Linked DNA regions of Arabidopsis thaliana. The protein of the gene in region 2 interacts with the protein of the main gene of each other region in a biochemical or structural test. Each region holds a gene or a part of one and is shown on either strand. Other genes may lie near its edges.

Region 1 (9,436 bases), on a different chromosome or scaffold from region 2:
GTTTACATTTAAACTCTATAGATGGATCAACATTGTTTTGAATGCCATGGAGATTGACGCTCATTAGATAAACTTTGTATTCCGTCATTATTACCACCTGAAACTCACTTTCCCTTGCTGCTGCGTTTGCTTGACCAACGTGCTTCTTTGTAAAGCTCTCGTCTTTGGATATAATGTTCCATTTTTTGCAAGTAGATCGCACTGTTCTCAGAGATGTCACCGGAACTCTAGAGAGCACCTCCTCTACCAAATCCCTAGGAAGATCTGAAATCGCCATTGTTGAATATGTTATATGTCATACTACAAATCAAGTTACCTTTAGCAGTGAAACAAAAAAAATAAAACTCTTTTCTTTTCTCTGCCTAGCTAGGGCACACCCGGTGGTATGCAACAGAAAATTTATATTTTCTGAGTTAACTTAAGATATAGATTTTATTATGTTTGATATCTTGAATTTCCTTGAATTGCTTTTTTAATTTAAATAATTTGACATATGATTTTCAATAGTGGACTTTTTTTAGCGAATCTCATTAATTGATCATACGATGGGTCCTATTAGTGACCATTATTTAGAAAATGAATGCACAGGAACAACATGTTGTTCCTCTTTTTTTCACCATCATTAGTATTTTTTTTCCAAATTGTAATATGTAGACCCCACAATATTCCTAATCATTCTTTATTTTTTGAGGAATGGTAGAAGAAAATTTTTCCTTCCCAAATTTGATGAGGAACAAACAGGAAAAAAAATTAAATATTTATTAAATAAAAATTAAATTTATGTTCGTTTTATATTTAATATTTAATTTGAAAAATAATTTATTTATTTTTTAATTTTTGTTACTATTTATTCTATGTTTTGGTTATCATTTACAGTAACATTTGTTCTATTTTTCCTTTATATCCATTCCTTTTCATTCCTATTTTATCATTTTTTCTTTTCCTGTTTGTTCTTTTTTAGTCATGTTCTTCTTCATTCCTTGTATTCATTTATAGGTCACCAATCGGACCCGATATGTTGATTTAAAGAGAGTGGACATATCAATTCTGGTAGCTGGTAAAAAGCATCTATTTCCTTTGCTTTCAAGCTCATGTGTTACACAAACATGTTATAAAGTCATTTTTTTGTTTTTCATATGCAAAGAGAACAACAATTGTATCATGGACAATACAGAACTTCTTTATTTTCATCTAAATAGCAATGCTAAAGAGAGCTTCTAAGGAAAAAAGTGTCTAAGATGTATTCGGCTGTTTCAAAAAAATATTGGAAGAGCCAACGAGAGATTACATACTAAGTGAATAATAATGGTCTGACATACAAATTAATGATCAAACCATTATTATGTCAAGAGCGAGGCAACCATATTCGATTAATTAGTTCGCACTGCTCTAAGAGATGCTAACGGGACCCTAGAGAGCACTTCCTCTTCCAAATCTCGGGGAAGATCGGACATCGCCATTGTTGAATCTCTCATCTCCAAGTTAGGTCAAAGCTTCTACAACTCTTTTCGTACCTTCCGGCTATATATGTAACAGCAATTGAAGACACAACTCACTGGGCTAAACCTGGGCTTCAGTTATCAAGTCGGCCTCTTAATGTGGGACCAATACATTTTTTGTATTTGATCGTATAGCAAAAACAAATGATTAGCACCATGTGGAAACATTAGAGAGTTTGTGTAATTAAATTTCAAGTTTCTTTTCTGTCTTGTTATATACATAAAAATGGTTACAGTAACCTTGTTTTTTCTAGTTATCCTCATATGCTCCAAAAACATAGGAGAAAACATAATCATGAACTTTTTGACCAATAGTATTGTTAGGACTTGAATTCTCTTAGATTTGTTAATTGATGATGAATTCTCTTAGATGTTTATAACACTATGAAAATCATTACTTAAAAAAAAAAAAACTAAGATGATCCATCAGTCACACTTTAAATGTTTTTTAAAATATGTTCATATGTTTTGTTTATGGCATTGCGTACATAATTTAATTAGACTAATTATAATATCGATCAAACAAAGAATTATTGGCTGGATTTGGTCGCAGCCATTAGCAGTCGCTCTCAACTAATATTATTACGAGAATCTCTAGCTGAGCAAGTATCTCGTATTTCTCACGCTCTGACGAAAACTTCTACGAGATAGACGCAGATATCGAGACCACGTCATTCCCCCTAACAAGGCAACAACATGTGGCGGACGCCAGTAAAACTCTGCTCAATTCACTTCAATTCCATTTTTCGAATCCGCGTGACGTAACCCACCTAAGGGTTTATAATCCACTACTTTGCACCCCCACCTAAAAATGCATCACAAGCGCGACAAGTGTCAATACAATTCAGATACGGAGAATACTCTGAGATCCCACATCTGCTTTCGGTGGGCTCACCCGCATCAGATAAAAACCCTAAGCTAAGGGATCAGACCAAACAGTTTAACCAAACGAGGTTATCAACTTATACGACAACGAAAGCACTTATCAATGATAAGTTAGTTAACTTATCAAACTACAGTCTGTGTGACAAAACGCATCGAAGAAAGTGGAGAACAAGTCGTACTTTTTTCTTTATCTTTTTCCTTTTTTATTAAATGAAAAAATATAAATAGAAATTTTGTAGCATCTCTGGGGTCAGCTTTTTCTTAATGTTCGCTTTGCGACGCGAGGAAATGCAACCTTGAAACCCTAGAAAACTCATTCTCAACTACGACTAAATCGATTTCGCAAACTTTGACCTACCCTTCTTTCACGATAAACCCAGATCGCTTAAATTCCTTGAATTTCTTCTTCTGAGAGTTTTAGGAAAAAATGTCGTCTTTGAGCAGAGAGTTAGTTTTCTTAATTCTCCAGTTCTTAGATGAGGAGAAGTTCAAGGAATCTGTTCACAAGTAAGTTTGTGCTTTGTCGTTTTTGTGTGCTTGTTTGGTTTCTCTGCGTAATTTTGGGTATAATTTGGAATTGGTTGATGTGTAGGCTAGAGCAAGAATCTGGCTTCTTCTTTAACATTAAGTACTTTGAAGAGAAAGCTCTTGCTGGAGAGTGGGATGAAGTGGAGAAGTATCTTTCTGGTTTCACTAAAGTCGATGATAATCGTTACTCTATGAAAATCTTCTTTGAGATTAGGAAGCAAAAGTATCTCGAAGCTCTAGATCGGTAATGATTTCTCTTCTTGTTTGGTCGGATATTTAGACTAGTGTTGTTGATTTGATACATTTGTGTGTTTTTATTACAGAAATGACAGAGCAAAAGCTGTTGAGATATTAGCCAAAGACTTGAAAGTTTTCGCTACATTTAACGAGGAGCTTTACAAGGAGATTACTCAGCTGCTTACTCTGGAGAATTTTAGGTTTCTTTTTTTTTTTACTTTGCCATTGATATTATTGAAGTTTTGGTAGGTGGTTACGATAATGTTGAAGAGTGTGTTTTTTTCTTAGGGAAAATGAGCAACTGTCGAAATATGGTGATACTAAATCTGCAAGGTCTATAATGTATACTGAGTTGAAGAAATTGATTGAGGCGAATCCTCTGTTTCGAGAGAAGCTAGCCTTCCCCAGTTTCAAAGCTTCTCGCCTGCGAACTTTGATCAATCAAAGGTGAACTAGGAGGAGTCATAATTCTTTCCTTTTTTTATAGAGATTAGTTAAAGTGTATGACAAGTGTGTTTGGGACATTGCAGCTTAAACTGGCAGCATCAGCTATGTAAAAATCCAAGGCCTAATCCTGACATCAAGACATTGTTCTTGGATCACTCTTGCTCACCATCAAACGGTGCTCGTGCACTCACTCCTGTCAATCTTCCAGTTGCTGCTGTTGCAAGACCTTCAAACTTTGTTCCTCTTGGAGTGCATGGTGGAGTAGGATCACTTACTTAACTTCCACCCATTCTATTATATAACTTAATGTTCATATTTTGAGGGTTGATGAAACAACTGTATCTGTGCAGCCCTTTCAATCTAATCCTGCTCCGGCTCCTAATGCCAATGCTTTAGCTGGATGGATGGCAAACCCAAATCCTTCTTCATCAGTTCCATCTGGTGTTGTCGCTGCTTCCCCATTTCCTATGCAGCCAAGTCAAGGTATAATTTATGTCACAACTTACAAGTGTCTGGATATTATGGTATCTTTCGTTTTTTTTTCTTACTTGTGATATTAGAGTTTTTAGGAAATGAATTTTAAGACCTGAAGTTCTATTGCTGTATTTCGTCTCAACAGTTAATGAGCTGAAACACCCTCGGGCACCGTCTAACTCTCTAGGATTAATGGATTATCAAAGTGCTGATCACGAGCAACTCATGAAACGCTTACGGTCTGCACAAACATCCAACGAGGTAATTGCCTTCAGGTTTTCCTTGTTTTTGAAACGCTTAGTGCTTACCTAGCAAACAAAACTCTTGTTGCTTTTGGAATGTGCGCTTTGATGTTGAGTAGATGGCTCTACTTTTCAAATCACAGGTCACATATCCTGCTCATTCTCATCCCCCTGCGTCACTTGATGACCTCCCTAGAAATGTAGTGAGTACAATTCGCCAAGGGTCGGTGGTGATAAGCATGGATTTTCACCCTTCTCATCACACTTTGCTCGCTGGTTAGTCCATTGCTACCATGAAAAGCTTAGTAGAGTTGAGATTTTTATTTGGCTCTTGTTATAATATGTCTGTTACTCGTAGTTGGTTGTTCAAGCGGCGAAGTCACCTTGTGGGAAGTTGGATCCAGAGAAAAGGTTGTCACAGAACCTTTCAAGATATGGAATATGGCGGCTTGTTCTGTGATCTTCCAGGTTTCTCTCTTCTTCCATCGTTTTTACTTATTTTCTTGATAAAGATAAATTATCTAGAAACATACTTTAACACTAAGCTAATCCAGCCTTGAGTGATTTATGTTCTGTTCTGTTCTATCCTATACTTTAAAACTAAGCTAATAAACTATGATTTTGTTGTGCGGGCATTTTCTCGCCAGGGTTCTATAGTCAAAGAGCCATCGATATCCGTCACTCGTGTAGCATGGAGCCCAGATGGAAACTTGCTTGGTATGGTAGATGGAGATTGTTCTCCTAAAAACGTTTTAAAGATATATAGTTGTAATTTCAAGTAGACACGAAGTTTGAACTTTGTAACATTTTCCATGTACAGGGGTTTCTTTTACTAAACATCTGATCCATGTATATGCTTACCAAGGCTCAGACCTACGTCAACACCTCGAGGTATGTTTAATTGTCTTTTCGTACTTAGTTTCTTGCCTTTGCATCTGCACCAAACTTAATCGATCATCTGTTTCTGTGGATTAGATTGATGCTCATGTAGGCTGTGTGAATGACTTGGCGTTCGCCCACCCAAATAAGCAAATGTGTGTTGTGACTTGTGGGGATGACAAATTGATTAAGGTACGTTAGGATTATGATGACTCTGAACTCAGTTTTATTATCCCGTGTCTAATTATGATATTTCCTAGGTGTGGGATTTGAGTGGGAAGAAGCTCTTCACCTTTGAAGGGCACGAGGCACCAGTTTATTCCATTTGCCCTCACCAGAAGGAAAATATTCAGGTGCAGGCATCTCTTGTTTAAAAAGACCTGAAAAACTTTCCCTTTCGCTGTCTTGTAATTTATTTTTCTCTTTTTTTACTATGCAGTTTATATTCTCAACCGCTCTTGATGGAAAGATCAAGGCGTGGCTCTATGATAATGTTGGTTCTCGGGTTGATTATGACGCACCGGGACAGTGGTGTACAACAATGCTCTACAGTGCTGATGGAAGCAGGTACATCATTGTTATTTGAAAAGCTCTGGAGTTGTATAACAAAATTATGTCTCTGCCATAAATTGAAATCTTCTGAACAAAATATAGGCTCATATCATTATCAAGTAAATATCTGCTATGATTTCAGACTATTTTCTTGTGGGACGAGTAAAGAAGGAGACTCTTTCCTCGTCGAGTGGAATGAGAGTGAAGGTGCCCTAAAGAGGACATATTTAGGCTTTAGGAAGAAATCAGCTGGAGTTGTTCAGTTTGATACAACCCGTAACCGTTTCTTGGCTGTTGGTGAAGACAATCAAATAAAATTCTGGAACATGGACAATACAAATCTTTTGACAGTTGTTGAGGCTGAAGGTGGACTTCCGGTATGACATTCTTGCCCAAAATACTCCTCTTGGCTACTTGTATATAAAATCTTTTGTATTCTCGAGCCTGTTACTTTACTGATGCTATGTACCGTTTATTTCAGAATCTACCCCGATTGAGATTCAACAAGGATGGGAATCTTCTTGCAGTTACTACAGCAGATAATGGATTCAAGATCCTTGCAAATACTGATGGTCTCAGAACCTTAAGAGCATTTGAAGCGCGGTCTTTTGAAGCATCTAAAGCATCCATTGATATGAAGGTCTTGGAATAATTACTCTTTATGTTATCCATGAAATATTTTTATTACTCATGCCTTATGTCCAGTTTAACTCGAGTGTCAATACCGGTGATTCAGGTATCCACCTCCGCAATGGCTTCAAGCATCAGCCCCGCTATTGGTAAAATTGAACACATGGACGCAGGCTCTCCTGCAAGGCCAACCCCAATTCCTGTATGATTTAAATTTTAGTATATCTTTTTCAATATATATATATATATTTTTTCCTATTTCAATAAGAATCCTTATATGTGGTCTCTGTTGGTGTTATGCAGAATGGAATTGAGGCAATGTCAAGAACTATGGAAAAGCCAAGAAACTTGGACTCTGTTGATAAGTCTAAACCTTTAGAGCTCACAGAAATTGTTGATCCGACTCAGTGCCGACAAGTGACAATGCCAGATAGCAAGGACTCTGTTAGCAAGGTTTGTTACCGTCTTAGCTTGAAATTGCCCATCAATTGTTCTGTTTCATTAATAATTATCTTGAAATAATCTTTTGCTGCTATGTCAATCCTTAAGGTTGCTCGGCTTCTTTACACAAATTCTGGCGTTGGTGTTTTGGCTCTTGGATCAAATGGTGTTCAAAGACTATGGAAGTGGATCCGCAATGAGCAAAATCCAACTGGGAAGGTGATTCGTTGTACCTTTCAAATTTTACACTCATGTGGTTTGTTGATATATGTGAGTTGTTGAGTCACTTGTTTGAAGCTCTCTTGCATAAGTGTCTGAAATTTTGTCCTTTTATTGTGAAGGCAACTGCTAGTGTAACTCCACAGCATTGGCAGCCAAACAGCGGTCTCCTAATGGCAAATGATGTTCCCGAGAATCCTGAAGGGAGTGTTCCGTGTATAGCACTTTCCAAGAATGACTCATACGTAATGTCAGCTTGTGGTGGAAAGGTTTCGTTATTCAATATGATGACTTTCAAAGTAAGCAGCTTAATCCAACTTTTTCTGTTCTCGGGAGCATCTCCTAAATACTGATACCTCAGGAGCTAATGAAACTATTTGAGTAATATGCGAAGCTAAATGCATTTTTCCCTTTCGTGCAGGTAATGACAACTTTCATGCCACCGCCACCAGCTTCAACTTTCTTGGCATTTCATCCTCAAGATAATAATATTATTGCAATCGGGATGGAGGACTCGAGTATACATATTTACAACGTCAGGGTAGATGAGGTATAGTACATTTGTTCTATTCTGCGGTCTACTGGTTTTTACTGGTGTAACTGCTGATTCATCTCTTAAATGAATTTGTAATGTAATCTCTTTTAATCTATAGGTGAAAACAAAGTTGAAAGGTCACCAGAAGCACATAACTGGTCTAGCATTCTCTACCGCGCTCAATATTCTTGTCTCTTCTGGTGCCGATGCTCAGGTAAGACAAAATTCATGTTTCTTAGATGCTATTGGAGCTTTTCGTGTCCATGTTGGCTTGTAACTTAACAGACTCGTTAACTCTCTTTATTACAGCTCTTCTTCTGGACCGCTGACTCGTGGGAGAAAAAGAAATCTTCAGCGATACAGCTACCACCTGGCAAAGCACCAGTAGGCGACACACGAGTCCAATTCCACAACGACCAAATCCAGTTATTGGTTTCACATGAGACACAGCTCGCCATTTACGATGCTTCGAAGATGGAATGCATTCATAAGGTATCGTAAAAAATCTTTGTATTTACTTGGAGATCTTGAATGATTATAAGAAACCTTAAATTCTCATTCCTTGTGCAGTGGGTGCCCCAAGAAGCTCTCTCTTCGCCCATAACCTCTGCATCTTACTCATGCAACAGCCAACTGGTTTACGCGTCATTCGCTGATGGAAACATTGCAGTCTTTGATGCTGAATCCTTGAGACTCAGATGCCGCATTGCCCCATCAGCCTACATGCCTCAACCTACACCAAACAGGTACCGTATTTTACAAACTTCATATAAAGTTTATATCATCCATCTGACCATTGTGATTTTTTGGGACTGATTATGCTTTCTTTTTCTTCTGTGATAGTGCACCGATTTTCCCACAGGTGATCACAGCTCATCCACAAGAACCGAATCAATTAGCGGTTGGACTGTCTGATGGTTCGGTTAAAGTGATTGAGCCATCAGAACTTTCTAGAAGATGGGGTGTTGGCGTCGCAGCTGGTTCAGATAAAGCAGGGACTGAAAATGGACGGCCGTCTAGTTCATCAGCGGCTAACAACTCAAGTTCGGATCAGATTCAAAGGTAAAAATAGTTTATGTCAGTTAAGTTAGTTGACATATCTCTTGTTATTTTGGATTGTAAAGTTGTGATAGCTTGTGCTGTTTTTGTAAATGAGATTCTCAAATTAAATCAGTAGGCGCAATAACAGTTTATTTTATATTTTTCGGCGTTTTAACAGTTTTAAGATGGCTATACTCTTGAATGTAGTAGCTCTTAAATCTATGGATTTGTCAAAAATTTGCGATTTACGCGTTTATATTTCGGCCGTCTGATTTGTCCAACATATTCATATTTCGTTTGTGGCCAATGTTGAAATGAGTTTCATCTAAATATCCCCTAAACTAAATTATAATAATGACATGAGCTAGTTGATCAAAGATTTAGGAGATTAAACCGTTCTTTAAAAAATAAAAAGAAGTGACGTACACTAGTTTTACAATTGATGGTTTATAACTCTTATAATAATGTCAAAATCTGATTTGACAAACAAAATTTGGAAAAAGCCAGACGTAATTAAGAAGAAGCCATTAGTTTTCTCTGTTTCTTCTGGTTCCTTCGTTGATCACGCCGACCTGAAAGATGGACAACGCAAGATCATAAACATCTGTTTAAGGAAGGACACATCAGTGAAAGCAAGTTATCAATAAGATCAGACTTATATAAATATATACCTATCTTCTCTTCCTTTCTTTTCTTTTTCAAGCTCGCTATATCGCGCCTCTTCTCTGCACTCTGACCTTTCATTTTCAGCATCTGAACAAAGCGACAACATCATTCATCAGATATGGTCATGCAAACTGGTAATATAGTTCACACCGTCTCAGCAA
Region 2 (6,580 bases):
TTTTTTTTTATGTTTTCGTTTGAACTAATATTTTGGAACTATTTTCTGGAGTTTATTTCTTCTATCGCTTGTTTTCGTGAAGATTTTTTCTCTGAATTCGGTTTGATGACAAAGGTTCTCTTATGCACAATCTTGCAAATCCAAGCTTATTTTGGTTATGTAGCCTATAACTAAGTTATTAGTATGACTAATATGGCTAATAAAATACATGAAGCAGCTCCAAATCATATTGTTAAGCATCTCAGACAACACAGCTTACATATTCTTTACAATAATAAATAATTTATTGTTCGACATAATACTGTTGTTACTGTTTGACTTAGCGTTAATTTTCTGCACAAATGTTGTTACTACTTTGATTAAAAAGGATAATTTGTGTAACAATTTTTTGGTCAGTTTTAAAGGTTATTATTATTTTTTTAAATAACTTTTACGATTAGAATATGAGTAGTGCAACGCAAAATAACACTGCCGTTTAAGACGACGGTCCCTTGACAGAATCTTCATCAACGCTCGATTTGACGTCTGCCGATTTCCTTAGCTCCGACGTAAACCACTGATCGTCGGTATTCAGCTATATTTTGATTTCTCAGCTCCAAAAATTCCCAACGAAATGGAGAAAATGGCCAAAGGATGGTTTCCGATGAGCGGCACTAGTAGCAGCGGAGATCAGCAGCAGCAACCGCTGCAAACAGGAGGAACGTCTCTGCTAGCTGATTGGAATTCTTACGCAGCATCGAGAGATTTTGAAGAAGACACCGGAACTTTAGGCTTCGATATCGAATCCGCCGTTAGATCTGCCAACGACACTGTTTCCGGCACCTTTAATGTGTAATCCATCCATCTCTTTCTCTTAATCTTTAGGGGTTTAACGATTGATCGTGACCGTATCTGAGAAATTAGGCGTTTTCGCCTGCTATTGAGGATTGGATTGGTGTAAATTAAATCTGGAATCTGAGAAATTGTGATTAACCATATAGTTTAAGCTTTGCCAGATTCGTTGATCAGATTTACAAATTCTCAGGGTTTGAAGCTATTGTTAGTGAATGATTTTGATTAGTGTCTTCTCTCAATGACTTAGAATTGATTAAGAGTCTTAAGCATATCTTTTTCTTGAAGTGTTACTAACTTTTTGATTTTGAATTTTGTTGTACTCAAATCTGGATTGTTAACAGTGTTTCGAAAGGAGTTAGAGATAACCTGCAGTCTGCAACAAGTAGTATGCCTTCAGGAAAAGCTTTGATGTATTTCGGTTTACTTCTAGCAAGTGGTGTATTCTTCATCTTCATTGCCTTCACCATGTTTCTTCCAGTCATGGTGCTTATGCCACAGAAGTTTGCAATTTGTTTTACCCTTGGATGTGGATTTATCATCGGATCTTTCTTCGCTCTTCGTGGCCCGCAAAATCAACTCGCTCACATGTCATCGGCAGAGGTAATAACTAATAACAAAACCTTGTGTTGTGCAGCTTCTTATATCTGCTGTATTTCGTTTACATTTTTCTCTTTGGAATTTTAATTTCTTGTTTGCTGGCTTCTCCAGAGGCTTCCACTAACTTTAGGTTTCATTGCCACCATGGTTGGCACCATATATGTCTCGATGGTGCTCCATAGCTACATTCTCTCTGTGATTTTCTCTGCATTACAGGTACTTAAATTTCATCTTCCTTCCCGACTCTTGTTGGTGTTTATATCCTCTGTTTTTCATATGTTAAAATTTTCCTCTTCCCCATTTCACAAATCTTACCTATGAAGTTCTTTTTTACCCTGCATGTTTCATCTAGTAAGCTCTTGCCTCGTCGAAACATAATGTGTTTAGTAAAAAACATGTAGACTTTCTTATTGCTGTTTTAAAATACAAGTTGGGTTAGTATGAATTATGAAGAAGCCTTGAACGCCATATCTTTGGTTGGTCTCTTGGCTTGTTTTTGCAAATGCACTTACTTGCGACAGAAACAGCTTTGATATATTATTACTCACCCGTTATCGATATGGAATATATACTTTAAGAACTCACTAAATCATATCCTTCATGTCGGTTTAAAGATTAGTCACGTATCTGCACATTCTGTAAGTATAGTAATCTCATAAAAAACCTGGTCTCTGTTCTCTGTGAATCCATAGGTTATTGCACTGGCGTACTACTGTATATCATATTTCCCTGGTGGATCATCGGGAATGAAGTTCCTCAGTTCTACTCTTACCTCCTCTGTCTTCCGAATGTTTGGGAGATGAGCTTTCGCTTTGACCTATGCAAAGAAAATAACTTGATTCTCTCGTGTATAAAGAAAGATGAAAGATCTTCAACAGTGGTTAAATGACAAATCTGGTAAAATATGTTGGTCCAATGGCTCAAAGACAGTTTTGTTATAAATTTCCTATATTGATACTTTCTGCTAAATTGGTTCAAAACTTCAAATCACTAGCCACTGGATGAGGTATGGAACTTGAAGAGTTGCTTGGTGGATACATTCTCTAATCTAGGGTAAGTCGTTAGCTTCAATGTCTTACTGTGAATTATTACATCAGAATTAAGAAAGTTATTACACGTATGTTTTCACTGAGTTTACTACACTGGCAATGTGGCATACATCTCTTACTGCAAATTGCAGACAAGTGGTCAATCAAATCTTTTTTAGTTGGGCCCAAAATGTCTGTTATTGGATACGTTGGGCCTTAAAATGGCCCCCATCAGTCAAAAACATCACTGCTTGGAGAAGGATCTAGAAAAACTTGCAAGTTAGTTCAAACAAAATAAAGGAAAAAGAACGATCTAGAAGAAAGAAAAAAAAAGGAAAAGAAACCCTTATGGAGGTTCCCACACCACTCTATATATAATAACATCCTTCTCCTAAATCCCGCATCAGTACTTCTCTCTGCTCTCAAGATAATTTTGTTCTCTCAATTTCATTCTTAAACCCTAGTTCTTCGATTTTTTCCGATCTACGACAATGGCGGACGCTGAAACCTTTGCTTTCCAAGCTGAGATCAACCAGTTGCTTTCCCTCATCATCAATACCTTTTACTCTAACAAGGAGATCTTCCTCCGTGAACTCATCAGTAACTCTTCTGATGTACGATCTCTATCTCTCTCTACCTTATTGTATACTTGTGTATCTCGTTTGATTGATTTGGCGGATGGATCTGTAGATTTAGGTTTGGTTAGGGTTTAGTGTTCTTTCCGTTGGGAGAATTTTGGTTACTTACTGAAGTTGCGAAGCTTTTTGTGTACAAATCTATTGTTTAGGTTTAGTGTTGATACCAAGGATTTAAGTAGTTTCTTGTTAGATTACCAAGTTTTCGATTGCTTATAGTTGATTTGCATACATATTATGTGTATTGTTTGCTTACGATTGTGATTCTATTCTGGTGAAAACAGGCTTTGGACAAGATTAGATTCGAGTCCTTGACGGACAAGAGCAAGCTCGATGGTCAGCCTGAGCTCTTCATTCACATCATTCCCGACAAGACTAACAACACCTTGACCATTATTGATAGTGGTATTGGCATGACCAAGGCTGGTACGTAATTGATTTCATCCTAAATCAATTTGTTTCGATTTTGTTGTTGTTTGTTAGTCTTGCATCTGTGTTTGTTTTGTTGGCTAATTCGTGCTTCTTCTATTAGATTTGGTCAACAACCTTGGAACAATTGCAAGATCTGGAACCAAGGAATTCATGGAAGCACTGGCTGCTGGAGCTGATGTTAGCATGATTGGTCAGTTTGGTGTTGGTTTCTACTCTGCTTACTTGGTTGCTGACAAGGTTGTTGTTACTACCAAGCACAATGACGATGAGCAGTACGTGTGGGAGTCTCAGGCCGGGGGATCTTTCACTGTGACCAGAGACACCTCTGGGGAGACTCTTGGTAGAGGAACAAAGATGGTTCTTTACCTCAAGGAAGACCAGTTGGAGTACCTTGAGGAGCGAAGGCTTAAGGATTTGGTGAAGAAGCACTCTGAGTTCATCAGCTACCCAATCTCTCTCTGGATTGAGAAGACCATTGAGAAGGAGATCTCTGATGATGAAGAGGAGGAAGAGAAGAAGGATGAGGAAGGCAAGGTTGAGGAAGTTGATGAGGAGAAAGAAAAGGAGGAGAAGAAAAAGAAGAAGATTAAGGAGGTTTCTCATGAGTGGGATTTGGTGAACAAGCAGAAGCCTATCTGGATGAGGAAGCCAGAGGAGATCAACAAGGAGGAGTACGCTGCTTTCTACAAGAGTCTCAGCAATGATTGGGAGGAGCATTTGGCTGTGAAGCATTTCTCTGTTGAAGGACAGCTTGAGTTCAAAGCTATCCTCTTTGTTCCCAAGAGAGCTCCTTTTGATCTCTTTGACACTAAGAAGAAGCCCAACAACATCAAGCTCTATGTCCGTCGTGTCTTCATCATGGACAACTGTGAAGACATCATCCCTGAGTACCTCGGATTTGTGAAAGGTATTGTCGACTCTGAAGATCTTCCTCTCAACATCTCGAGAGAGACATTGCAGCAGAACAAGATCCTCAAGGTCATCCGCAAGAACCTTGTGAAGAAGTGCCTTGAGCTCTTCTTTGAGATTGCTGAGAACAAGGAAGACTACAACAAGTTCTACGAGGCTTTCTCTAAGAACCTGAAGCTCGGTATCCATGAGGACTCCCAAAACAGAACCAAGATTGCTGAGTTGCTCCGTTACCACTCAACCAAGAGCGGTGATGAATTGACTAGTCTCAAGGACTACGTGACAAGGATGAAGGAAGGTCAGAACGATATCTTCTACATCACTGGTGAGAGCAAGAAGGCTGTTGAGAACTCTCCATTCCTTGAGAAGCTCAAGAAGAAAGGTATTGAAGTTCTCTACATGGTTGATGCGATTGATGAGTACGCTATTGGTCAGCTTAAGGAATTCGAGGGAAAGAAACTTGTTTCTGCAACCAAGGAAGGTCTGAAACTGGATGAGACCGAAGATGAAAAGAAGAAGAAAGAAGAGCTCAAGGAGAAGTTTGAAGGACTCTGCAAAGTGATCAAAGACGTTTTGGGTGACAAGGTCGAGAAGGTTATTGTTTCTGACCGTGTTGTGGACTCACCGTGCTGTCTTGTAACCGGCGAATACGGCTGGACTGCAAACATGGAGAGGATCATGAAAGCTCAAGCCTTGAGAGACAGCAGCATGGCTGGTTACATGTCGAGTAAGAAGACAATGGAGATTAATCCAGAGAACTCCATCATGGATGAGTTGAGAAAGCGAGCTGACGCAGACAAGAACGACAAGTCTGTGAAGGACCTTGTGCTTCTCCTCTTTGAGACCGCTCTTCTCACTTCTGGTTTCAGCCTTGATGAGCCAAACACTTTCGGAAGCAGGATCCACAGGATGCTGAAGCTTGGACTGAGCATTGATGACGATGATGCTGTTGAAGCCGATGCTGAGATGCCTCCCCTTGAAGACGATGCTGATGCCGAAGGTAGCAAGATGGAGGAAGTCGACTAATTTATCACACAAAAGTCGACTAAATTATTAGCGGTGTTATAAGACTATGGTTTTCTTTTTTTCTTTTCGTTAAAACTTATGTTATTTTGGTGATTATCTTCACGAATTTTTTCTATGGTTTTATTGTTGTGAAGATATTTCTCTGAACTCGGTTTTATGACAAAGATTCTATTATGCTCAAGAGACTGATTCTTACATATCCAAGCTGAATTTTGTCAGGGTATTAGTAGTAACCTAGTTATGATTATATCTTCCTAATTAGAATTTAGAATAACAAATTATAAGAAAATAGAATAACACAGAGATCATATCTTCTGGCATACATATCTTGCTGTGAATTATATTGCATCCGAATTAGAAAAGTTGCCACAGTTAAATTGAAATGTTTTCACTAAAAAAAAAAAAAACTACGCTGCCAATTGCCAATCTCTTGCTGCAAAGTGCAAACAAATGGTCAATCAAATTTTTAGATGGGCCCAAAATGTCCGTTGTTGAATACTTTGGGCCTTAAAATCGACCCATCAGTCAAAAAGACTCGTCAATATTAGAGACTGGCTTTTTTGATACAAAAGATCACCCAATAATGCAAGATTAAGCCTAAATTTATTATTTTGTCCCAAAAAAAAAAAGCCTTAATTTATTAATGTAATCAAAATTAATTAAGGGAAACCCCACACTGCTTTTGCTCTCAAAATTTGACCGTTAGTGGAGACTTATTATATAATACCACGAACTTGGCGTTAGTGCAAGTGAAACTCTTTAGTCTTTAGTTAAAACTTAAAAGCAAAGGCTATGTTAGGTTAAGACAACGGAGCCTATTGATTAACTTATGTAATTTCTTTTCAATAGTCGTATTTTCCTCTCTTTTTTTTTTCTTTTTTTTTTGGCACCTTCCTATTTTCTTACCAAATTATTATTGTTCAGTATTTTGTATATAGGAGTAAACTGAGTGATTACCATGATTTCAGCTAATATTTAACGATTATACTCACCTAATTTACAGTTAGCTAAACTGAACTTTCTAAAGCATCATATATACCCAAGCATGTATTCATATTTGGGAAAATTTTAGACTAGCAATATACTCATTCAGAATTCATATAAAGTTAATTTGAGGCA
Region 3 (7,727 bases), about 20 Mb from region 2:
GGGGACAAACGAAGACAAATCAGTAAAATTATGTTGCTAAAGGAGGAGAAAGAGTATCTCCTTCCAGGGACATATCAGAGAGACTCAACCAAACAAGAACCAAAAGGACAGCTTTTTAGGGAACTGTTTGAAGAAGAACTATATATATGGCTCATACATAAAGTGACTGAAGAGGGTAAAGGTCCAAACATATTGGATGAAGATGGACAGGGTATTTTACACTTTGTTGCAGCGCTTGGGTATGACTGGGCCATTAAACCGGTGTTAGCAGCAGGAGTTAACATTAACTTCCGTGATGCCAATGGCTGGTCTGCCCTTCATTGGGCTGCGTTTAGTGGCAGGTATGGACCTCTATCTCACATATCTTCAATTTCCTTTAATCATAATATTATTATTTGAGATTTTGCATTTCGTTTAAGATGCTCACATTGATGATGCTTTAACTCTATTATTTGGTCAACATTGCCATATCAAACTAACTCCTTTTCCTGTTAACTATAGGGAGGAAACTGTCGCTGTGCTTGTCTCTCTAGGTGCTGATGCTGGGGCATTAACGGATCCATCTCCAGAGCTTCCATTGGGTAAAACAGCAGCTGATTTGGCTTACGCAAATGGACACAGGGGAATTTCGGGATTTCTTGCAGAGTCTTCCTTAACTAGTTATCTTGAAAAGCTAACAGTGGACTCAAAGGAAAATAGCCCTGCCAACTCTTGTGGAGAAAAAGCTGTTCAAACAGTCTCTGAGCGAACCGCTGCTCCTATGACCTATGGCGATGTACCAGAGAAACTTTCCTTGAAGGATTCACTTACTGCTGTCCGTAATGCTACGCAAGCGGCTGATCGTCTCCATCAAGTATTCAGGATGCAATCATTCCAACGGAAACAGCTGTGTGATATTGGCGATGATGAAAAGATTGATATCTCCGACCAGTTAGCTGTTTCTTTTGCAGCTTCTAAAACTAAGAATCCAGGACAGGGTGATGTCTCTCTTAGTTGTGCTGCTACCCATATCCAGAAGAAATATCGTGGTTGGAAGAAGAGAAAAGAGTTTCTTTTAATCCGACAAAGAATCGTTAAAATTCAGGTTTGCCTTTCATTGAGTTTTTTTTTCTCCCCCTTATTTCTTTGCATAAGTCTTTTGTCTGGTTTCTCATTGCTGGAATCATATTACATTTACCTTTAGGCTCATGTGAGAGGACATCAGGTCCGGAAACAATACCGAACAGTCATCTGGTCTGTGGGATTACTCGAGAAAATCATTTTGCGTTGGAGACGCAAAGGTAATGGTTTGAGAGGGTTTAAACGCAATGCAGTCGCCAAAACCGTGGAACCGGAACCGCCTGTATCAGCTATATGTCCTAGGATCCCACAGGAAGATGAGTATGATTATCTTAAAGAGGGAAGAAAACAAACAGAGGAAAGGCTACAGAAGGCTCTGACTCGTGTTAAGTCGATGGTTCAATACCCAGAAGCACGGGATCAATACCGTAGACTCCTAACGGTTGTTGAGGGCTTCCGTGAAAATGAGGTACCCAAGACCCATAACATAATCAGTTAATCATATTTTGTTGAGCATTCTTGTGATAAATTGTTGTTGCAGGCTTCATCAAGTGCATCTATAAACAATAAAGAAGAAGAAGCAGTCAACTGTGAAGAAGACGATTTTATTGACATTGAGTCTCTTTTGAACGATGACACATTGATGATGTCTATTTCTCCTTGATTTTACTTTCTGACTCGTATTCATTTTTCCTTCTTTTACTTTCTAACTTTATTTCTTCTCTGTAAATACCATAGTTGATATTTACCGCTTAATTTATTACTTGGATTGAAATAGAATTATTCACTATTTTCTTTCGTCTTAACAATATATAACTTTTTTATTTGTTCATTTGGCTTTTCTCTGCTAATATTATATAGCCAAGTGTTGGATTACTCTGATTCATATTTGTATCCGTATTGAATATTCTTCTCTTTATTAGCTGTTTTCTGCAATTTATACATCATATTTGTTTTGGTCAAACTCATACATCAGTCATATTGTTATAGTTTAAATTTGAATGGTAGTATGATATTGAGCTAACTTTTAAAGGTTATAAATCCGGGTCGACATGCCATTTTATCTACCAAATTTGGATTGGTAAACCATTAAAGCTATAAAAAAAACTTAACTTGGATTTTCCTATAATCTGAAGATAAAATTGGATTGACGGGCAAGGCTACAGAAAATGGAAACTTAACAATAAATTATAGCAGTATATATTTTAATTTTTTCATTATTATATTGAGGTTTTTAGTGGCTTGACTAGCTTAAAATCTATTTTTCCACGAGTGGAAAAGTTCATTAAGAGAAGAAATGGCCAACAAAAGAAATTATAAACCTAAATCAATTTGTACAAGCTTATTAAAAAAAATTGAAACGAGTAATTCTAATAAATAAAGGAATTAAAATTAAAATTTCCATTTTTCTTAATTTAATTTTTTTTTTTAATTTCTTTATCGATTTCGTAAAGACAATTATTAATCAATCAAAAAGAGAAGATTCGCCTTGGGCAGACGGACTTGAGTTCACGGCTGGCCAAGTCATCACTCGTAATTAAAAGGGTTTAGACACAGTGCGCACGATAGCATCTGTGTTTGCTTCTTCCAAATCTCTCTCCTATTTTTCTTTCCCCTTTTCTCTCTTAAACCCTCCTAAAACCCTTGTCTCTCTCTCTCTCTCTCTCTCTTTCTCGTGAGATCGCGTTATGTCGAATACGCTTTCTTTGATTCAAAGCAATGCCTCGAATCCCAAAGTTTGGGTAGTGATCGGCGTGACGGTGGCCGGGATCGTGATTCTGGCGGAGACCCGGAAGCGGCGGATTAGAGCCCTTAGAGAAGAAGACTTTGGTGCTTTCTTAGATCGTTTCGAGCTTCTTCCTTTCCCTCCGCCTCCTCCTCCTGCTGCTAAACAATCTCTCTCTGGTCTTACCTTCTCCATCTCCGACGCGTATGTATCTCTCTCTCTCTCTCTCTCTCTCTCTCTCTTAAAAATCATAACCTATTTTCAAATTTGTTTTTTCCTGCTTTATATAATGATCTCGCTTATAAAGTTCAAAACTTTTGTTTGGTTTAATTGAGATTTTGACTTGCTTAGACGAAGTCATGTTGCAATGAAATGAATAAAGTTATATCGGGGTTAATGGTTTGACAGGTTCGATGTTAAGGATTATATCACAGGATTTGGTTGTCCACAATGGAAGAAGACTCATGAGGCTGCTGAGAAAACTGCTGTGGTTGTCACGACGCTCTTGAAAAATGGAGCTACTTGTGTTGGCAAGACTATAATGGATGAGCTGGGTTTTGGGTATCTCTCCACTCCTACCATTCTGCATATGAAATGACCTTTCGGTAGTTGGTTTGAAGAAAGTTTGTGTTTTGAATGTGATTTTACAGGATTATTGGAGAAAACAAGCACTATGGAACTCCTATTAATCCATTGATGCCAGATAATGTTCCTGGAGGATGTTCCAGTGGCTCAGCAGTTTCTGTTGGGGCTGAACTCGTTGACTTTTCACTTGGTATTGTTAATCTCTTCGTTTTCTCTTGGTAATGTGTTTCTTGGATTACGTTTGGTTCTTTATGCTAATCAAAAGATGCTTGATTTGCAGGGATTGATACCACTGGTGGTGTTAGAGTCCCAGCAGCCTTTTGTGGTATTCTTGGTTTTCGACCATCTCAGGGGACTGTTTCTTCAGTTGGAGTTTTGCCCAATTCTCAGAGCCTAGAGACTGTTGGTACGTTACATTCCCCTCCCTTTTAGTGTTTTTAGTGTAGTTTCAATGGTACATGCTACTCTAGGTGTTTGCCTTCCTGATTATTGAACTCATTGATTCGTTCTGTAGGATGGTTTGCCTCTGATCCATCCGTTTTGTGTCAAGTTGGACATGCCTTACTAAATCTGAGTGCAGTAACACATAGAAGGCAAAGATCTTTAATCTTTGCTGATGATTTATTCGAGCTCTCTGACATTCCTAAGCAAAAGTCGGTGCAAGTTGTCAGAAAGGCAATCGAGAATCTATCTGGCTGTAAGTTTGCAGCTGTATTGTTTCCTTCTCTTTGCCCTTCTCCAGATTCATATCTTATGTCTCTTGACCACTGGCTCATGCAGACAAGACTCCAAAACATGTTAACGTTGGCCAATATGTCGCTTCAAATGTACCAAGTCTTGCGGAATTCTGTGAGCAATCTGGGAAATCCCAAAATTCAGCATCAACTTTAAGGGCTCTTTCATCTGTGATGTTGGCTATACAAAGGTATTTAAGAAGCTCACACTTCTTGAAATTTTCACTGCATCAATACTTTTTTCTCTCTCTCGTTCCTTTTAAACGGGTGCAATAAAAGATTGTTGTTATTCCCTCTTTGCTGGAGGTTACTATTTTCTTCTTAAGTTGTATTATATGCAAATATCGAAGAAGAAAGGATTTTCTTTTTACCAGGCATGAGTTCAAAACAAATCATGAAGAATGGTGGCAAACATGCAAATCGTTTCTAGGGCCAAGATTTTCCAATGATGTTGTTACAGCTCTGAAGAGCAAAAACGAGAGCATTAAATCCCTCTACAGAGTGAAAAATGAGATGCGGGCCACCATTCAAAGCCTTTTAAAGGTAAACTCGATTTTTGGAAATTTAAAATTTTCACAGCCATTAGTGTCTTGAGGACATTTTGCCACCAAAACACTGAAGTCTGAAGAGATTGAATTATTAACTTTCATTTTTGCGGCTTCTTTTTAGTTCTATGGTATTATGATTAACCATAGATCGGTATCTTATTACTAGGAAGATGGAATTCTGGTAATCCCCACAGTTGCTGATCCCCCTCCAAGGCTTAACACAAAGAGAAATAAATCTTTGAATGAGTTTCTTGATCGTACTTATGCACTCTCCTGCATTGCAAGCATGTCTGGATGTTGTCAGGTATATTTCCATCTCCTCTTTCTCATTCAATGGTTGGGGAACATTCTTGTTGCCTTTTCCTTACTCTTCAGTCTTTAGTCATGACACAAATATATACATATTCTTCAGGTTACAATTCCTTTAGGGGAACATGGTGATCGTCCAATATCCGTGTCGCTTCTTACTTACTATGGAGGTGATAAGTTCCTTCTCGATACAACTCTCGATGTATATGCATCCCTTCAAGACCAAGCCAAACTTGCATCCAACTTAGCTCCAGTGTCTGACACCAATGGTAACATGGAGGCTTCTGAAGTTATGAAAGAAAAGGTAAAACTATCTCTTTGAGTTTGACAAATAGTATATTTGGTTCTGATCCATGATATGCTACTGGAGTTGGAATGTTCTCAAAGTTAACAGTGGATAAAATGTAATTCCAGGGCAATGCTGCATACAAGGGGAAACAATGGAATAAGGCGGTAAACTTTTATACAGAAGCTATAAAATTGAATGGAGCAAATGCTACTTATTATTGCAATAGAGCTGCAGCTTTCTTGGAACTTTGCTGGTAATTGTTCTCTTCATATCTTTCATTCTGATCTGAATATAATTTATTATGATTTTCTGATCTGAGAGTTTGTTTATAGCTTCCAACAAGCCGAACAAGATTGTACCAAGGCCATGTTGATCGATAAGAAGGTGAAAACTTGATTAGCTGCCTTATTTCTCCATCCCTCGTAGTTTGTTTTGTTACATTGTGTTTTTAACATGGTTTTGTGTTTAAGTACACTTGAGCTGGAACAAAACTATTCACTTTTTATTTATTTGATTTGCGGCGTAATACCTTTGTACTATGACTATCTAGTTTCATTATCACTCAGATCACTCACTATAGACACAATGACGCATTATTTGGAAGCTTTGATTCTTATAATAGTTATTTGTTTCTACAGAATGTGAAGGCATATTTGAGACGAGGGACTGCTAGAGAATCACTTGTACGGTACAAGGAAGCTGCTGCAGGTATGATGATTAAACTACTCTGAGATTGTAATTTTATCACATTGGAGAAACTTGTTAAAAGATAAAATTCATCTAGCTATCCAGATGAGTTACTCTCTCTAGTAGGGTATTGGAGCGTAACATTATGGTTGATCATCTCTGCAGATTTCAGGCACGCATTGGTCCTTGAACCACAGAACAAGACGGCAAAGGTTGCTGAGAAGAGACTCCGAAAACACATATGAGTTAAAAAGGATTATTACTCGATTTCTCTTGTTCACCAATCTATCTTTTCACTTATCTAAAACCCTAAAAAGGAAAGGTTTTGCTCCGGTTTCAACAGACTAATAATTTAGTGGTTTTGTGACATGTGTACAGATTGGGATGAAAACTTCTACCTCTAATTACTTGATCTGAAAAGTTTTATGGGGTCCTTTTAGCTTCTTTGTTTTCTTAACGGTCTTTTACGTAAATTACAATTTCCCCCAAGTCCAATACTGTAATTCCTTAAATTACACGGAGGGACCCATAAATGACACGTTTACAATCAATTTCTCGACAAATAACTGAATTCGTTGTTTGTTTTTTTCCTCTTCGTCATCGTCACGCCTCCGTATCTTCTCCTCTGTTTCATTTTTGAATTATTCGAATCAAAAATGTTTGATCATATGAAACTGCTGCGATGCTTCAGCTTCACGGCGTCGCGAGATTGGTTATTCCGGCAATCATTCGCAAACGCCGGTCTACGTTCCGTAACGACAGATCTCTCCCACGGCAATTCAATCGCATCAACAGCTATGCATTGTTGGATTCCTAAATCCCCGAATCGATCTAAACCTAATCTCCTCCTCCTCCACGGATTCGGCGCCAACGCAATGTGGCAATACGGAGAACATCTCCGAGCTTTCACCGGCCGATTCAACGTCTACGTTCCCGATCTCCTCTTCTTCGGGTTATCATCCACATCGGAACCAAACCGAACCGAATCTTTCCAGGCTCGGTGTCTGATGAGGTTAATGGAAGCGCACGGAGTCCAGAGGATGAACATCGTCGGGATTAGTTACGGTGGATTCGTTGGGTATAGTTTAGCGGCGCAGTTTCCGGAGAACGTTGAGAAGCTTGTGCTGTGCTGCGCAGGGGTTTGTTTGGAGGAGAAAGATATGGAGGACGGATTGTTTAAGGTGCCGAATCTAGAAGAAGCTACCGGAATTTTGATTCCTCAGACGCCGGAAAAGCTTAAGGAACTCATAAGATTCTCTTTCGTTAAACCAATCAAAGGTGTTCCTTCGTTTTTTCTCTGGGATTTTATCGATGTAAGTTTTTTCCTTTATAATAATGTCTTTGTTTGTTTGTTTGTTGATAAATGTTGGAGTTTTGAGAAATGTTGTTCAAAATGTTGAAAAGGTAATGTGTACGGAGTTTGTAGAGGAGAAGAGAGATTTGATCAAATCAATACTCAAAGATAGGAGACTTTCTGATCTTCCTAGGATCAAACAGGTACAAACCTTTATTCGGATTTTAATTTGCTTATGTAAATTTCGCAGTTCCTATAACATTGTGTGTATGTGTGTGTTTATTGGTTGAATTAGAAATCGTTGATCATATGGGGAGAAGAAGATCAAATATTTCCACTGGAACTAGGTTACAGATTAAAAAGGTAAACAACAACATGTATATTAACTATAGAGATTACCCTCTGTATTTTTTTATGTGTTTATAATAATTGTATGGTGAAACAGACATATAGGAGAGAGTGCAGAGATAGTGGTGATCAAGAAAGCAGGACATGC
Region 4 (5,809 bases), on a different chromosome or scaffold from region 2:
AGATTGGCAAAGATTCTAGAGGAGATTGCTGTTGATAAAGAGGTAATTGTAGCTCTTGCAAACGCAAATGTGAAAGCAATGTTGGAGGTTCAGATTGCTAGCATTAAGAGAGTGGGTATAACAAACTATCTGGTTGTTGCTTTGGACGATTACATAGAGAATTTATGTAAAGAGAACGATGTTGCGTATTACAAGAGAGATCCAGACAAGGACGTGGATACTGTTGGGAAAACTGGAGGTAACCATGCTGTCTCTGGATTGAAATTCCGTGTGTTAAGAGAGTTCTTGCAACTCGGTTATGGTGTTCTTCTCTCGGATGTGGACATTGTCTTCTTGCAGAACCCATTTAGTCATCTATACAGAGACTCTGATGTGGAGTCAATGAGTGATGGCCATGACAATCATACGGCTTATGGGTTCAATGATGTGTTTGATGAACCAGCCATGGGATGGGCTCGGTATGCTCACACTATGAGGATATGGGTTTTCAATTCCGGGTTTTTCTATTTGAGGCCTACAATTCCATCAATCGAGCTGCTTGATCGCGTGGCAGATAGACTCTCTAAGGCTAAAGTGTGGGACCAAGCGGTTTTCAACGAGGAACTGTTTTATCCTTCACATCCTGAGTACACTGCGCTACATGCATCCAAGAGAGTCATGGATATGTATGAGTTTATGAACAGTAAGGTCCTTTTCAAGACTGTAAGAAAGAATCATGAACTGAAGAAGAAAGTGAAACCAGTGATTGTTCATGTGAATTACCATCCAGATAAGCTCAATAGAATGCAAGCCGTCGTTGAGTTCTACGTTAACGGTAAGCAAGACGCGCTTGATAGCTTCCCCGATGGTTCTGAATGATTCACCTGAAAAGCAGATAGGCTAAAAAAAACTTTCCGAGTTTCTTGACATTTGTGATTCTAATATATTTCTCCCTTTTCCAATGTTTACTGCTTCATGCCTTCTACTTTCCTCTTTGTATTATGAATTTTTGTGTATCTTATGGCTAAAATCGCAAGTCTTTTTTTTCTTTCTTAACCTCTCTGATCTTGTTATTACATCCCAAGTCTTTGTTTTAGCCTCACTTGTTTTTCTCTGTTTCATCATCCGATATATAATTTACATTTCAAGCCACTTAATCATGTAATATATTTGTAATGTTTTCAAGACCTAAAAGGAATGATAATAGAAACATACATCTTAAACATTCTATCTACAAATAATGCGTTGTGAAACAAACTCACTGGTACAATGAATATCGATTCTAGAACAAGAACCAAAACCATGAACTGAATGAACAACACACTAATTCTCATTCTCCAATCCTTCCTTCCGACATGACATAACAGGTTCATGTATACTTCATCTCAACTATGAGCTTTACCATTTCCAAGCGTGAGCTCTAGATCCTCCATAGCCACATCATGGATCCTCTCCCCTTCCCATGGCTTAACTTGGCTGTTCTCAAACTTAAACTCGGAGCTTTGACCAATCTCTTGGATTGCTGCTGTGTTTGGAGACAATTGCTGTGGTGCAGGTTTCACGAGATTGAAGGTAGGCGAGGTTGGCACCATAGAGGCAGAGAATGGCTGTTGTTGTGCAAACTTTTGAAAGCTTATCCAATGACCAGAATCAACAGTGGAAGAGTCAGACTCATCACATTCAGGTATAGTAGCCGGAGCATGGAACTGGCGATGATGAGTAGGACTGGCAGGTGCAGACACCGCATAAAACGGGTAGTTCAAAGAAGTCATTGACTGTTTAGCAGCCATGGACATGGATTGTTTGGTAAAAGATTCCCAAGTAGGCAATGGTTTGGGGTTTCTAGAAGTTGGGGATGACACTGGTGGAGTGACAGGAGCACTGTTTGAGATTCTAAGTGGAGGAAGCGATGAAGGAATACCACCATTCCTGAGGAAAGGGAAGATTGTGGAGATATTGTGTGGATCACCAACTCGAGAAGGACTCGGGAATGAAGAAGAGGAAGGACTGACTTGGTAAGATAAGATGGGGCTATCAAAAGTGGAAGAAAGAGGACTTTGGTTATGGGAAGAGTAAGGAGTTGCTCGAGAAGATGATCCAGCCATGTCACCAGGTAGAGGCTTGTGTCCCTGTTGCTCATAGAACAATACCAAAAACATCACAATGTCACAATCAATCAAAAGCTAAAGGAGAGATCTAAATATAGTAACCAAGTGAAAGTAAAGCTAATTCGGTTCTCAAATTAGTAAGAAGAACCCTAAAGGTCACTTTCTCCGCAAGGAATCTCGATCCAATTTTAGAATAAAACTGAGCTTCCTCAGCTAAAAACCTCGAATTCATAGCCAAGAAAATCCCAATTTGACCAATTTCAAATCCAAATCTTCAGATTCAACAGCTAAATCATCAGATAACATCAGATCTAAGTAAAAATGCGTTTGATACTGACCTTGCGATAAGTAGTTCCGTCTTCTTCAACAACCCAACCAGCTTCAGAACAAAGAGCCTTAAGAACCTCATTGTTGTCACAATGTTTTGGAAGATTGTAGTTACCTTGAGCTCTAAGACCAGTATAAATCTTCGCCGCAACAGCTCTTCTCCGCCGCTCTCTTCTCCGATTGTTCTCCCTCTCTCTCCACGACGGTTTCCTCCTCGTCGCCATCGCTGCTGCTGCAGCTGCAGCTGACGTCGACGTTGCTCCGTCAGACGTCATCTTCTTCCTTCAACTCTCAAAACAATCCAACCACGGTTAAAAATGGAAATGGGTATTTGGATTCAGCTGAAGAAGAAGAATGAGTGAGAAGTTAGTGCTCACGAGGAATACGCTTTTTTTTTTCTTTCTTCTTCGCTGGAATTATAGAAGAATCTTTTCATTCATTATTTAAAATAAAAAAGCAAAAAGAATTCACCGTTGATTTGAGTTAAACCAGCCACGTGTCGATGATGAATGGTGAGGATAGGTGGTGGTGTACGTAACTTACAGTGTGGTTTCGCGTTTTGAAGAAGAAGTACGTTTTATGTTGTGTTTCTCTAAATCTGTGTAAGAAAAGGAGCTGATTTTATAAAGAGGAGAAAAAGATAGAGAGACATGTGGGGCCATTGTAATGAAGTGGGTCCTACACGAGTATGACCGGAAAACACACCATCTGATTGGTTTATGAGGGGATCGGCCATGTTAAATAAGAAAACAAATTGTTTTGAGCCTCATAACATTTAATGATTAGATTAATTTGTCACTATAGTATATGGATAAAAATAAAATAGTGTTTCACTATAGTATGAATAGAAGAAAATGAGTGCTTACTTTTGTCCTGACTGTTTATGTATCATGTGTTTATTCTTTAATTTTATCACATTACAAAATTATTTAGTAGATTATTTGTGAAAACGAATATACGTAAAATGGAGTGATACATGGTTTAGATTAAAAGTTAACTAAATAAACCCTTTATGAAATAGTATGGTTTTTTAGCCTTTACTTTCTATCGTATACGAGGCAACAAACTATAAAGACTCAATACATATGAGGGGAGACACTACGTACAACTAGTAAAATACCAAACCGACGGATTATATAGATTTCCAAAGAGAACTCGAGTGGAGAAGCATGGACGTGTTTGGATGTATAATTGGTATATTCAATTGTACTTTCGTAATACTTATCAACATTTTGAACTAGAAGCTCCGATCTTAGTGACAACTTGCGTTTGATAACACATGCTGATATAGTGATTCACTACTACATTTGAGATGGATTGTGTATATCAACATGACGGATGGTCAAGTTTCCGAACCAAGTTGTCTGAAAGCGAAGTTTAAGTCCTAAATTAAGTATTTGACAGTGTAGTTTGTTCATTCTATACTCGTGATATGCATTTTGTTGCGATGGTTTTGGTTTATTATTTCTTCCACTTGATGTTTTTCTTGAATAGTGGATGGAAATCGTGATTTCACAAAACTGTGTGATTGATAAAACAAAACATTCTACATCATTCTACTACTTCAAAATTTACTAAAGAGAGTCGAAAATGGAAATGTGAGGATATTCACACAACATTATTAAGTCAAACTGGAAAGCTCTATATTTGGAAATATCGTTAATTTTGTTTTGTGATTTGTAAGCATATTGTTTGATTGCTATAACAATCAGAGCCTATAATTCGGAATTATTGTTGGGACCTGCTCTTCATTGGTCATGATGATTTTCTTTAATTCTCATGTTTTTTTTTTTTTGACAATTGTATAGTTCATTGAACACAAAAGGAAAACTGGATAGTGGATTTGCCCCACAAATAGACCCATCAAAGCAGATATGATCTTCCAACGAGTAGTCACTTATTGAATTTATATTTAACACGCTTTTGCCTTTATTTTATTCATATTTTGTTGAAAAAGAAAAAGAAATCTAGTGAATAGCAGAATAGTGATACTAATATAGTATGTAATCTTACTGTACTGATAATATATTTAAATTTTATCTGAAACATCATCTGTTTATGAAAGGAAAAGGAAAAAGCTTACTAAATTGATGGTACAGTTCTGAGACAAAATAATCTTTAGTAACACTATACTTTTTTCAGGCTTACTCTAGTGTTGTCTTCTTCAAACGATGTCGTTTGCGATGAACCGAACCTTCCACTTCTTTCCAAGGGTTCTCTCCTAACTGTCCCCAGCTTGAGAATGAGTCATAGAGAAAAACGATCATGAGGGCCCAAGCCAGCCTTTTTCTTGGTTACACCCTAGGGAATGCGCCCACTAAACTTTCAAAAAGTATCTCGAGTCCTGAAAGTGAAGCGGTTCGTTTCCCCAAGAGGTCCATCCGGCAGCCATTTCCCTCGCAAATAGCTCAAGGCACCGAGCAGGTTGAGACCCGGGAGTGTGTTTCAGTAGTATATCTACACAAAGTCCAAGTGGAAACAAACAAGAATCAGGGGAGCTTTAGACCAAGAATTTGAAAAAATTGCATTATCTACTCTTGAATTTGATGAAGCCAATCGCAGAACAAAGCTGTTGAAAATATAAACATAAGAATACCTCCAATTGGGGGTTTCCTCGAAAAATCACCAGGGATGCTCATGATTATCTGGTTCTTGTCCAAGAGTTTAAAATCTGACCTCTTTTCTGATCCTGCAAGCTATGACATGTATACACAACATGGCTGTTCAAACAGAAGTTCCTTTCTCAGATTATTCAAGTGACAAAAAAATGAATTGACTTACTTCGGTAAAATGGTAGCCTAGTAGAAGGTACTCATAAGGTTTATGATGGACCAGGTCCAGGTCGCAAATCAGTGTACCATCCGGTTTCACCTGAAACATTTACATAGCAAGTATGTAAAATGTCAAGTCATATGTGCAACTCAGAAACCAAGATGGGGACTGAGAGCTGCAAGATGAGCTCACCTTTAACCAATACATTGTAGCTACATACTTAATTCCCCACGCAGGGAATAGCTCTTTCTCAACAAAACTTAGTAATTTCTCTCTATTTGTCACCCACAAAGCCACGAGAGCTCCTTCAGCATGAGCAAGCTGCTTGATCGGAAGAGATAAGAAGTATTGGTTCGGTAAAGTAGGATACCTAAAACAAAGAACCAAGAAACATTGGTCATGAACTTTCAGATACAAAAAATACTTATCCACATGCATACATTAAGTAGATAACGAACTTTGATTTCTGATGAGCACTTGCATTTTCCCAAGGCGGATCAATAACTATAAGATTGTAGCCTTCTTCAGATTTAGCTGCATATATGACATCAATAAGACTATTACATCGCCTACCGATATGATAATGACTGATCTTTTCTCACATGACTCAGGACCAATCAACA

The links.
Region 1: the proteins of HSP81-2 (region 2) and TPR2 form a complex in vitro, tested with the Arabidopsis thaliana proteins (one study listed by BioGRID).
Region 3: the proteins of HSP81-2 (region 2) and TOC64-V form a complex in vitro, tested with the Arabidopsis thaliana proteins (one study listed by BioGRID).
Region 4: the proteins of HSP81-2 (region 2) and BES1 form a complex in vitro, tested with the Arabidopsis thaliana proteins (one study listed by BioGRID).

Annotation. Positions count from the first base shown.
Region 1 is NC_003074.8:5,728,898-5,738,333, forward strand, and holds TPR2 (TOPLESS-related 2), read left to right. Parts: upstream 1-2,621; 5' UTR 2,622-2,811; coding exon 2,812-2,891; intron 2,892-2,976; coding exon 2,977-3,156; intron 3,157-3,235; coding exon 3,236-3,349; intron 3,350-3,437; coding exon 3,438-3,596; intron 3,597-3,679; coding exon 3,680-3,857; intron 3,858-3,946; coding exon 3,947-4,079; intron 4,080-4,215; coding exon 4,216-4,331; intron 4,332-4,455; coding exon 4,456-4,588; intron 4,589-4,670; coding exon 4,671-4,780; intron 4,781-4,959; coding exon 4,960-5,029; intron 5,030-5,132; coding exon 5,133-5,203; intron 5,204-5,287; coding exon 5,288-5,383; intron 5,384-5,451; coding exon 5,452-5,544; intron 5,545-5,630; coding exon 5,631-5,758; intron 5,759-5,885; coding exon 5,886-6,120; intron 6,121-6,224; coding exon 6,225-6,383; intron 6,384-6,479; coding exon 6,480-6,575; intron 6,576-6,676; coding exon 6,677-6,826; intron 6,827-6,922; coding exon 6,923-7,033; intron 7,034-7,155; and 13 more. Other genes in the region: AT3G16820 (F-box and associated interaction domains-containing protein), read right to left, coding at 1-277; AT3G16840 (P-loop containing nucleoside triphosphate hydrolases superfamily protein), read right to left, coding at 9,123-9,181, 9,281-9,362. UniProt on the Arabidopsis thaliana protein: Transcriptional corepressor. Negative regulator of jasmonate responses.
Region 2 is NC_003076.8:22,683,973-22,690,552, forward strand, and holds HSP81-2 (heat shock protein 81-2), read left to right. Parts: upstream 1-2,859; 5' UTR 2,860-2,950; coding exon 2,951-3,160; intron 3,161-3,378; coding exon 3,379-3,520; intron 3,521-3,626; coding exon 3,627-5,461; 3' UTR 5,462-5,499; downstream 5,500-6,580. Other genes in the region: AT5G56020 (Got1/Sft2-like vescicle transport protein family), read left to right, coding at 614-831, 1,176-1,434, 1,543-1,647, 2,124-2,234. UniProt on the Arabidopsis thaliana protein: Molecular chaperone. Involved in RPM1-mediated resistance. Component of the RPM1/RAR1/SGT1 complex. May stabilize RPM1 and protect it from SGT1-mediated degradation. Associates with RAR1 which may function as co-chaperone. Possesses ATPase activity.
Region 3 is NC_003076.8:2,925,569-2,933,295, forward strand, and holds TOC64-V (translocon at the outer membrane of chloroplasts 64-V), read left to right. Parts: upstream 1-2,604; 5' UTR 2,605-2,747; coding exon 2,748-2,989; intron 2,990-3,193; coding exon 3,194-3,346; intron 3,347-3,435; coding exon 3,436-3,560; intron 3,561-3,650; coding exon 3,651-3,776; intron 3,777-3,884; coding exon 3,885-4,067; intron 4,068-4,150; coding exon 4,151-4,295; intron 4,296-4,478; coding exon 4,479-4,647; intron 4,648-4,818; coding exon 4,819-4,956; intron 4,957-5,064; coding exon 5,065-5,265; intron 5,266-5,375; coding exon 5,376-5,503; intron 5,504-5,582; coding exon 5,583-5,634; intron 5,635-5,888; coding exon 5,889-5,958; intron 5,959-6,102; coding exon 6,103-6,182; 3' UTR 6,183-6,453; downstream 6,454-7,727. Other genes in the region: EICBP.B (ethylene induced calmodulin binding protein), read left to right, coding at 1-341, 502-1,084, 1,184-1,528, 1,601-1,723; AT5G09430 (alpha/beta-Hydrolases superfamily protein), read left to right, coding at 6,594-7,250, 7,342-7,434, 7,527-7,594, 7,677-7,727. UniProt on the Arabidopsis thaliana protein: Chaperone receptor mediating Hsp90-dependent protein targeting to mitochondria.
Region 4 is NC_003070.9:6,685,721-6,691,529, reverse strand, and holds BES1 (Brassinosteroid signaling positive regulator (BZR1) family protein), read right to left. Parts: upstream 2,996-5,809; 5' UTR 2,851-2,995; coding exon 2,792-2,850; exon of another isoform or gene 2,697-2,791; coding exon 2,426-2,696; intron 2,109-2,425; coding exon 1,365-2,108; 3' UTR 1,119-1,364; downstream 1-1,118. Other genes in the region: RRA3 (Nucleotide-diphospho-sugar transferase family protein), read left to right, coding at 1-858; AT1G19340 (Methyltransferase MT-A70 family protein), read right to left, coding at 4,732-4,871, 5,011-5,110, 5,196-5,285, 5,379-5,556, 5,645-5,720. UniProt on the Arabidopsis thaliana protein: Positive regulator of brassinosteroid (BR) signaling. Transcription factor that activates target gene expression by binding specifically to the DNA sequence 5'-CANNTG-3'(E box) through its N-terminal domain.